3 linked regions of the Oryctolagus cuniculus genome follow. The protein of the gene in region 2 binds, or shares a complex with, the protein of the main gene of each other region. Links are inferred from orthologs where the notes say so. Each region holds a gene or a part of one and is shown on either strand. Other genes may lie near its edges.

Region 1 (3,003 bases), on a different chromosome or scaffold from region 2:
GTGGAGATGCTGGCTTTGTGCTGCCCATATCACCTAAAAGCCCTCCTCCTCCAGAGAGCCTCCTTGGATGGCCACTTTGCGAATGCAGGGCGGGATACTGACTGGTGGAAGTGAAGGGAGAAGTGGCAGGCGCAGTGCTTCACGCAGGGACACGGGGCTGGAGGGAAGGGTGGGGACGCTGGGCTGCTTCAGCCTCCGGAAGAGAAGCAGGCAGCAGCCTCTCACCTGCCTCACCTCAAGCTCTGCTGATGAACTTCAGCGCTACCTCCTGCCCCAACTGCCACCTGTGTCCCCCTCCTATGGACATACCATGACCCGTCAGAGGGGGGTCAGAGACAGCTGGGGAAGGACGTGGAGGGTCCTGACAGGGCAGTGAGCACCAAGGAACCCGGGAGGCCACAGAAGCCTACTCTACAGTGACATGCGTGGTGGTTGAGTTGGGGGTGGGAGCTCCGAGCGTCAGGCAAAGGACTTGGGGCCCTGGGCATAGGCCACGCTTTTTGCCCCACCTCACCTCACAATTCAACACAGGTGGCTTGACTTACTGCCTGGACAAGGGACCTGTACAGCTCCTGACGAGTGAAGACCTGATGTCACAGGGTCTAGTGCCCTGTCCTCAGGCCCACATCCTACTCCTCACCCATCCCCGGCGGCCCATGGAGTGTGGAGGGGTGTGTGTGACCGCAGGTCTGCCCCCACAGCGCCCTGCTCCAGCCCTGGCCTGGCTTGGGCTCCCAGGAGAGGTGTATTACCCGCAGCCTTTGTTCCGCCTTCTGCTTCAGGTGGCTCAGGCTCTGACTGGCCACTCTCTGGTAGCGCAGGGACACCCTTGCCGCCTGCCACCTCGGCTGCACCGACACCACCACCACCACCAGGGAGAGCAGAGTCCGAAAGATAGGGAAAGGGAAGGGCGAGAGAGGGAAGGGAGGGGGAAAGGAGAGAGGAGGGGGTGGGGGTGGGGAGGGGAGGAGGAACAAGGGAAGAACAAAGTGAACACAAGGCCACACGCGGTCACCTCCCAGGGAGCTCAGAGAGCTCTGCACCAGTTCACCAGAACAGAGAGAAGGAAGGTCAGGTCCCAGAAACCCAGCGGAGAGGGCAGACCTCGGGCAGGTGCAGGGAGAACACTACTGGAATGGGAGGTGGAGCAGAGCACTAGGGGAGGAGAGGAGACTCAGAGCCGCTAACGTGGACCCCATCCAGCCCTGAGCAGTGGCCCAGGCTTTGTTCCTCTGCCCTGCCACGTGCCTCTGGCAGCCTTTCCTTGTCGCCACCTTGCCTTTCCCGAGCCTGGCTGCCCTGGGCTCGCTGCTCTGGCCACATGAGCCTGTCCTCAGCCTCCTGGAGGGCGCCTCCATTACAGCGGTCTCCCGGCTGTCCATGACAGTCCCCTACCCTGGTGTGTGTCCACTCGGCCTCACCCCTCTGTCTCCTTGTCCTATAGCCCCTCCAGTCCCAGCAGCCATCTGGGTCCTCAGGGCTGCTATCTGGAGTGACCGGCTGCACGCGGCTGCACTGTCTTTCGGGGTTGAGCGCCTGAGCAGAGCCACATCCTGTTCTCAGGCCTGGAAGGTCCCAGGAAATCAACCAGAGCCCTCACTGGCACAGGAAATGTCCTCATTTATCAGAGAACAAAGGTCAGAGAGAATTCAAAGCTTTGTCTAAGGTCACAGATATGAGGGGAAAAAAGCTCTTGGAAAATGAAATTACAAGATAAGTTTATTTTGGTACAAAAAGCTTGCAATCCACCTACATATGGGGGCTTATCAAAAAGTTCATGTAAAATGCATATTATGAAAAAACCATGTGTGGACTCCACCATCTTTTGGCACCCAGATACCCGTATGTTTTAATACATGTTCCATGCGAGTACCTTAGAATTAGGTGTGGCCGGCCTTGGGCGCTGAACCTTGACTGACCGCAGGGCCCTCACACATCTGCACCTCCTCCCACACTGGGGGTGAGCTCTGCTCACACGGTCCCCAGCTCAAGATGGGGAGGGAAGACCCACCTCAACTCTTGTAAAACCAGGCCTCTGTCTCCCCAGGGGACGCGCCCACTTTACCTTTTCTCACAACTTTGTAATTTCCTGTGCCTTCTGTTCTCGAAGCCTCTTCAGCTGGATTCCTGTCCAGCTCGGGAGACTCCCAGATCCCAGAATTTCTGGTCCGTGGGGGCAGGTGCTCCAGAGAAGAGAGCGCCGTGTCCTGCTCTGGCTGGCCCCGCTCTGGCCCCGGGAGCTGGGTGCTGTCCCCTTCACCTGCAGCAGGAGCTCTCCCTGGGGAGCCTGGGTCCCAGGGGTGAGAGGTGATGCTGATGACAGAAGGCGTGGGTGTCAGGTCATCCTCGGGCTCCCTGGCAGTCTGTGTCTCTGGGGTGTGACCTGGCAGCAGGCTCCACAGGATCAGGTGCCGCAGGTTCTCCACTGCAAGGGGGAGCGGGAAGAGGGGGCTGGCTTCTCCTGCACAGGTCTGCTCGCCACGTCAGCAGGGGCAGAGCACGGCACGGGTGAGGCACTGCAGCTGCCCCCACTCCAAGTGGTCAACCTGCCTCCTCCCAGGGGAGGGCTGGAGGGCTCTGGCCACCTCGCTGGTGTCCTCAAGCACCAGCAGGGAGCGCCTTCGGCAGGTGGAGGGTGACGGCGTCTGCCAGTTCACCCTGGCCAAGCTACTGGGGACCAGGGGCTGATGGTGGCTCCTTGAGGCACTCACCGTCTTCCAGGGCTGAATCAGCGAGTCCTTCCATGAACAGAGGGCCTGGGAGGGCCAGGTGGATGGGGTCCCTCGTCCTGATGGTGCTGTTCTCTCCACCCAGGGGTGCAGGAGGGTCGGGCAGGGCACCCAGCTCCTCCTCTCCGTGGCCCCTCTGCTCTGGATCTTCCAGCAGCACTGGCTGCATCCCCTGGCCTCTCTGCGGGGGCCCAGGGCCTGCTGGGGATGAGAAAAGAGTATCAGGCAAGGAAGGGAGAGGGCACATATGGGAGGGAGGAGCCCGGCTTCTGAT
Region 2 (3,605 bases):
AGTATGTGGCCACCTGGGCTACTGAAATGGTCAGGTTCAATTCTCTCTAAGTTAAGATACTTTTCTTAGAAAAGAGCTAAACTAAGGCTTTTAAAAATAATTAGAAAAGCAAATCACCAGTCTCAATGTTGTGAGGTACCTGGCTAAATACGAAGTACTGATAAGAGATGTGGGAAACCAAAAAGCCAGTTTCAAATCTCAGTCTAAGAGATGGCTTTACATTTGAAACCCATGTACTTTACAAGTGGATACATTTAACAGTAGCCATGGAGACTTATGGTGAAAAGTGATCCATGGTCTATATTCTACAGTCCCAAGGCTCTAAGAATCCAGCCAATGATGACTCTTCCACAAGCTCAAGTCTCTCTTTTATTTATTTGGCAGCCAACTCTAATTTTCAGCCATTGGATCCCCAGAAGTCCTCAGAAGTCAGATGTCAGTCATGAAGGCAGTGACAAACAGTAGGCTGCAGGGGCACTTACCTAAACTATCAGGGCTGTCAATGGAGAAACACATCAGGATAACATCAGTGTCTGGGTAGGAGAGGGGCCTCAGGCGATCATAATCTTCCTGGCCAGCTGTGTCCCACAAAGCCAGCTCTACCTGTGATGGAAAAAAACAACCAAATACAAAAGTGCAAGGTTAATCCCACAACCCACTTAGAAAAAGTGACATCTGTGACAGTACATGCAAACGGCAAAAAATTAAAAAATAGGAAGACATAGGAAATACTCACTTTGATGAGACTCAAGCCCAAACAAACAAGTTGTGCTCAGTCTTTTAAGTTGAAATTTCTCAAAATTACAAATTTTATAAATAGTTACTAGAAATGTACAAAGTGGCATAATTTAAAATGCCAAATAAAAAATAACTTTGTCTCTTGTAAGACATGTTTAAATAACATTCTACTAGAAAAGAAACTGAATAGACAAGAGAGGAGGTTAAAATGTAGATAACATTTAAAATGTAAATAACATTTTACCAGGTACACAGGCAAGACAGGGAAATACCAAATTCACTACCCTTAATACTTCTAACACAACAATTTCTTCTCGGTGCCCCTCTCTTCAATAACTGAAACATCCCGTATCAGAGAGTTTGGACAGAGTGCTGGGTACTCTTCTTCCAATCCAGCTTTTCTGCAAATGTTCATCATGGATGGCAGCAAACAATGGCTCTAACAGTTGAGTCTCTACCATGCATGTTCAGAACCAGACCGATTTCTGGACTCCAAGGTATTGAACCAGCAAACAGGAAATCTGTCTCTCTGCCTTTCAAATAATTATTAATAGTAAATATAAATAAGATGGATTGGTGTGGTGGTAGCATGGATTCAGCTGCTGCTTGGCATACTGGAGTACCAGTTCATGTTCTGGCTCCTCTGTTTCCAATCCAGCTTCCTGCTAATACATCCAGGAAGGTGGTGGATAATGGCCCAAGTATTTGGGCCCCTGCCACCCATGTGGGAGATACAGATGGAATTCCTGGCTCTTGGCTTCAGCCTGGGCCAGCCCTTGCTATTACAGCCATTTCGGGAATGCAGCTGGAGGCACACTTTCTCTGCCTTTCAAATAAACACCAAATAAATAAATCCTAGAAGGAAAAAAAAAAGACACCATTTTGAATATTAGGGGAGACCTGAGCTGACAGCAAAAGTTTGTCCCTGCTTTAGCTTAAGCAATATATAGAGGCTGGCGTTGTGGTGTAGCTGGTAAAGCCACTGCCTGCAGTGCCAGCATCCTATATCGATGCCAATTTGAGTCCTGGCTGTTCCACTTCTGATCCAGCTCCCTGCTAATGTGCCTGGGAAAGCAGCTGAGGATGGCCCAAGTCCTTGGGTCCCTGCACTCACATGGGAGACCTGGAAGAACTGGAGGAAGCTCCTGGTTCCTGGCTTCGGATCGGCTCAGCTCCAGCCACTACAGCCATTTGGGGAGTCAACCAGTGGATGGAAGACCCCTGTTTCTCTCTGTCTCTACCTTTCTCTGTAACTCTTTCAAATAAAAAATAAATCTCAAAAAAAAGTTCATCAATTAAGAGGTTCATTTGAGCACTATCTATTTGGCAACAAACTATATTTCTCATATTAACAAATCTGAAAAGGGCACATATACTACAAAGGTTGTTTTGTGTGAAATACATAGGAATGTGGATAAAGTTTAGATGACAAGAAAATGATCAAATGTGGACTAAAGCGGCAAAGTGAGAGGAGATTATTCTTTCCAAAATTTTTTTCCAACTTTTTTTTTTTTTTAATGATTTATTTATTAACTTGAAAGGCACAGTTTCAGAGAGAGGGAGAGATAGAGATCTTCCATCCACTGGTTCACTCTCTAAATGAATGGCCACAATGGCTGGGGGAGGCCAGCTAAAGCCAGGAGATTCTTTCAGGTCTCCCACATGGGTGCAGGGGCCCAAACACTCAGGCTACCTTCCACTACTTTTCCCAGGCCACTAGCAGTGAGCTGGCTTGGAAGCAGAGGAGCCAGGACATGGACCAGCACCCATATGGGATGCTGGAGTTGCATTACCTTCCACACAATACTGGGCCCTCTTTCCAACATTTTTGTTAATACCTGTACTAAGAGGCAAAAAGGCCTAAACCTTTAAAGATCTACACACAGCCTAATATGCAAAGTGGCATCAGCTGTAACAAAAAGTGTGCTCACCTGTTTCCCATCCACTTCGATATCTGCCACATAGTTCTCAAACACTGTGGGGACATACACCTCTGGGAACTGGTCCTTGCTGAAGACTATCAGCAAGCACGTCTTGCCACAAGCACCATCACCGACAATCACCAGTTTCTTCCGGATGGCAGCCATCGCTGAAACATAAAACAAACGGTTTTATCTGCAATGAACAAGAAGCCATGAATAGCTTCAGGCTATGACACATTTTTTCACCATGGGACAGAAGCTTCTATTTGCATACCCAAATTAATTCTAGTTCACTCTTCCACTTGGAACCAAAAGGCTATACACCAAAACCTCCTAACTAACATTATACTGCACGGTTAATAATTGAAAGCCTTCCCTCAAAGATCCACAAGGATATCTGTTTTTGCCACATCTATCCAACACAATATTGGGAATTAGGTAAGAAAAGCGAGCCCATGACATAATCCTGTATGTGGCGAATCCTTTGGAATTGATTAGGAAACTATTACAACAGATCCATTCAGCAAGATGGCAGAATGTAAGATCAACACTCAAAGTCAACAGTATTTCTTTTTCTTTGTTTTTAAAGATTTATTTATTTAGGGGCCAGTGCTATGAAAAAGCAGCTTAAGTTACTGCCTGCAATACCCATGTCCCATATGAAGGCAGATTCAAGTCCTGGCTGCTCCACTGCTGAACCAGCTCCTTGCTAATGCACCTGGGAAAGGAGAAGATGGTCAAAGTGCTTGGGCCCCTGCCACCCACATGAGAGACCTGAATGGAATTTGCAGGCTCCTGGTTTCTGCCTGGCCTAACCCTGGCTATTGTGGCCATTTGGAGAGTGAATCAGGGATGGAAGATCTCTCACTCCCTTCTCTGTGACTCAAATCAATCTTTTCTAGATCTGGGTCAGGCCAGAGCCAGGAGCTTCTTCCAGGTCTCCCT
Region 3 (2,284 bases), on a different chromosome or scaffold from region 2:
GATGAGCTTGGCCGCCCTGTGTGTTCGGCCCCAGTCTTAGCTCTCTGCAGGTGCTTGGGGCGGGGGGCAGCCCCTGCGGGCCGGGTGGTTGGTTGGGAATGTCCGGGAGGGGACGTTCTCCCTCCAGGGTCTTTCTCAAAGGTCGAATGTTTTGGTTCTAGGGCAAGCTGACCGCTCAGGGGAAGCTCTTGGGTCAGGACACATTCTGGGTCACAGAGCCTGAGGCTGGGGGGCTGCTGTCTGCCCGAGGGCGAGAGAGGCGCGTCTTCCTCTTTGAGCAAATTGTCATCTTCAGCGAGGCCCTAGGAGGAGGCACGCGAGGCGGAACGCAGCCCGGTTACGTATATAAGAGCAGCATCAAGGTGGGCTCCGAGGGAGGGCCTGCCTGAGACAGGGTGAGGCCCGGCGAGGCTGGCTGGCTGGCTCTCGGATGGTTGGAGGGGCCAGGACCCAGAGAGGGGCTGAGGAACCTGGGGACCATCTCCTGTCTGCCGGTTCAGGTGAGCTGCCTGGGCCTGGAGGGGAACCTCCAAGGGGACCCTTGCCGCTTCGCACTGACCTCCAGAGGGCCGGAGGGCGGCGTCCAGCGCTACGTCCTGCAGGCTGCCGAGCCTGCCGTGAGCCAGGCCTGGATCAAGCAGGTGGCACAGATCCTGGAAAGCCAGCGGGACTTTCTCAACGGTGAGGCCCATACCCGCTCCCCCAGCCCCAGGCCCTCTTGAATCCCTCACTGCCTCCTTCAGCCCCTGCCGTCTGATTGGCCCCACACTGAGTGACTCAGAAGCCCCTAAAGCCCCAAGTATTTCACACTAGCTGGTGGTCCCTGGGGGAGAGGGGCCAGCTGGGAGGGTGGTCTGAGCAGAGCCCAGCATGAAAGGGGCTGTCTCTGCTATAACCTGCCTTCTCCCCCTGTCCTTGCCCAGCCTTGCAGTCACCCATTGAGTACCAGAGACGGGAGAGCCAGACCAACAGCCTGGGGCGGCCAGGGGGCCCTGGGGTGGGGAGCCCTGGGAGAACTCAGCCTGGAGACCGGGCCCAGGCCAGCACACAGACACCCATCAACGGCTCTCTCCCCTCCCTGCTGCTGATGCCCAAAGGGGAGGTGGCCAGAGCGCCCTTGCCCCTGGACACACAGGTATGAAGGATGGAGGGGCAAAGTGGGGGGAGGGGCTCTCTTGTTCTGTGGTCCCCTCCCCCACATCTGCCCTTTCTTCAGTCTGCTCCTCCCTATTTCCCCTCCCTTACCCCCCACCCCCCACCCCTTTTAACTCTGCTAGAGGCTGACAGTGGGAGGGGCTTGGCCAAGGGCTTATACTGCAAAGAGAAGAGTGAAAAGTCCTTCTTGGCCTTTTTGCATCCTGTGACTCGATTCTTTCCTCAGGCCCTCCATGACATCCCCCAGGCTCCTCGGGACCCTCCCCCAGTCCCTGTGACTCCTCCAACCCCGCCCTGCCAGGCCAGACTTGCCAAGCTGGACGAAGATGAGCTGTAAGCGGTGAAGGGCACAGGGTGGTGCTCTCTCCGCGACCTGCTCCCCAGGGAGCTCCAGGGCCATGCTGGCCTTGACTTGGAAGCCTTCTCTCCTGAAGTGTGTGGAGGGGCGAGGCTGGGCAGCTCGGGGAGGAGAACCTGGACCCGCTCCCACCCCTGTGCGTGCATCACAGTCTCCCCAAAGGGAGGCGATGAGGGGGAGTGAGAGGGCTGGGGCAGGGGCCAGATAGAAACTCCTGCTTTAGTTTTTCCTGTTTTCTGAGAATAAAGGTTTTGTGATATCCCCGAGGCTGCTGTCCTGGCAGAGGGAAGGGAAGTCTGTCGTGAGGGTCCATGGGGCACAGTGGGGTAGAAGAGATCAGGCGCCCCCCTGGGCACACGGCGTGAGATAAATGTGGTCATGTGGTCATCTGTTCCTGGGGGTCATGTGGTCATCTATTCCTGCATCCCTGCAGCTCAGTCCACCCTGAGGGCTTGCAGCCCCTGGAAAATCGCGGATCCTTGTATTCTGTCCTTTAGCCAGCTCCTCTGCCCTCCCCCAGATCTGCCCCCTGGTCTGTAACACCCCCAGGAAAGCCCAGTGTAGTGTGACCACCCACTCCCTGCACCACCAGATGGCGAAGCACAGGATGCCCAGAGTACCTTTCCTCACGAGGACTCCTCACTCCGCCGAGGGAGGATGGGACGGTGCAGAGGGTCCTGGGCGCTGTGGCCCCTTCCTGGCTCCAGATCTCCTTGTCTTTGCTGTCTGTGAGGCCATCGGTCATGTCATACTGAGCAGGAGAGGTTCTTC

What was found. The genes of interacting proteins can lie anywhere in the genome.
Region 1: the proteins of RHOA (region 2) and ARHGEF11 are in contact, whole or in part, in a crystal structure (PDB 1XCG), measured with the Homo sapiens proteins. The link is inferred for Oryctolagus cuniculus from reciprocal best matches to the Homo sapiens genes RHOA and ARHGEF11. Residues at the interface, in NP_001300870.1 of Homo sapiens: Arg5, Thr19, Val33, Tyr34, Pro36, Thr37, Val38, Glu40, Asn41, Val43, Asp45, Glu54, Ala56, Trp58, Asp59, Ala61, Gly62, Gln63, Tyr66, Asp67, Arg68, Leu69, Arg70, Leu72, Ser73, Pro75, Asp76, Pro96, Glu97, Pro101; in NP_055599.1 of Homo sapiens: Asn715, Gln717, His718, Glu737, Val738, Glu741, Thr745, Ser748, Ser837, Lys844, Arg867, Arg868, Leu869, Gln870, Arg872, Asp873, Ile876, Met879, Gln880, Arg881, Thr883, Lys884, Leu887, Leu888, Ser891, Arg914, Leu917, Lys918, Val920, Asn921.
Region 3: the proteins of RHOA (region 2) and ARHGEF25 are in contact, whole or in part, in a crystal structure (PDB 2RGN), measured with the Homo sapiens proteins. The link is inferred for Oryctolagus cuniculus from reciprocal best matches to the Homo sapiens genes RHOA and ARHGEF25. Residues at the interface, in NP_001300870.1 of Homo sapiens: Arg5, Tyr34, Pro36, Thr37, Val38, Glu40, Asn41, Val43, Asp45, Glu54, Trp58, Asp59, Ala61, Gly62, Gln63, Asp65, Tyr66, Asp67, Arg68, Leu69, Leu72, Pro75, Asp76; in NP_891992.3 of Homo sapiens: Tyr163, Val164, Glu167, Thr171, Met174, Tyr175, Asp178, Cys253, Lys256, Pro257, Glu260, Ser264, Arg275, Arg281, Leu282, Asn285, Asp286, Ile289, Lys290, Val292, Gln293, Arg294, Met296, Lys297, Gln299, Leu300, Leu301, Cys327, Pro330, Lys331.

Annotation. Positions count from the first base shown.
Region 1 is NC_091438.1:41,883,856-41,886,858, reverse strand, and holds part of ARHGEF11 (rho guanine nucleotide exchange factor 11), read right to left. Parts: intron 2,931-3,003; coding exon 2,712-2,930; intron 2,426-2,711; coding exon 2,066-2,425; intron 849-2,065; coding exon 753-848; intron 1-752. UniProt on the Homo sapiens protein: May play a role in the regulation of RhoA GTPase by guanine nucleotide-binding alpha-12 (GNA12) and alpha-13 (GNA13). Acts as guanine nucleotide exchange factor (GEF) for RhoA GTPase and may act as GTPase-activating protein (GAP) for GNA12 and GNA13.
Region 2 is NC_091441.1:99,877,414-99,881,018, reverse strand, and holds part of RHOA (transforming protein RhoA), read right to left. Parts: intron 2,828-3,605; 5' UTR 2,826-2,827; coding exon 2,670-2,825; intron 604-2,669; coding exon 483-603; intron 1-482. UniProt on the Homo sapiens protein: Small GTPase which cycles between an active GTP-bound and an inactive GDP-bound state.
Region 3 is NC_091442.1:60,220,609-60,222,892, forward strand, and holds the end of ARHGEF25 (rho guanine nucleotide exchange factor 25), read left to right. Parts: intron 1-161; coding exon 162-362; intron 363-500; coding exon 501-681; intron 682-923; coding exon 924-1,135; intron 1,136-1,381; coding exon 1,382-1,492; 3' UTR 1,493-1,777; downstream 1,778-2,284. UniProt on the Homo sapiens protein: May play a role in actin cytoskeleton reorganization in different tissues since its activation induces formation of actin stress fibers. It works as a guanine nucleotide exchange factor for Rho family of small GTPases.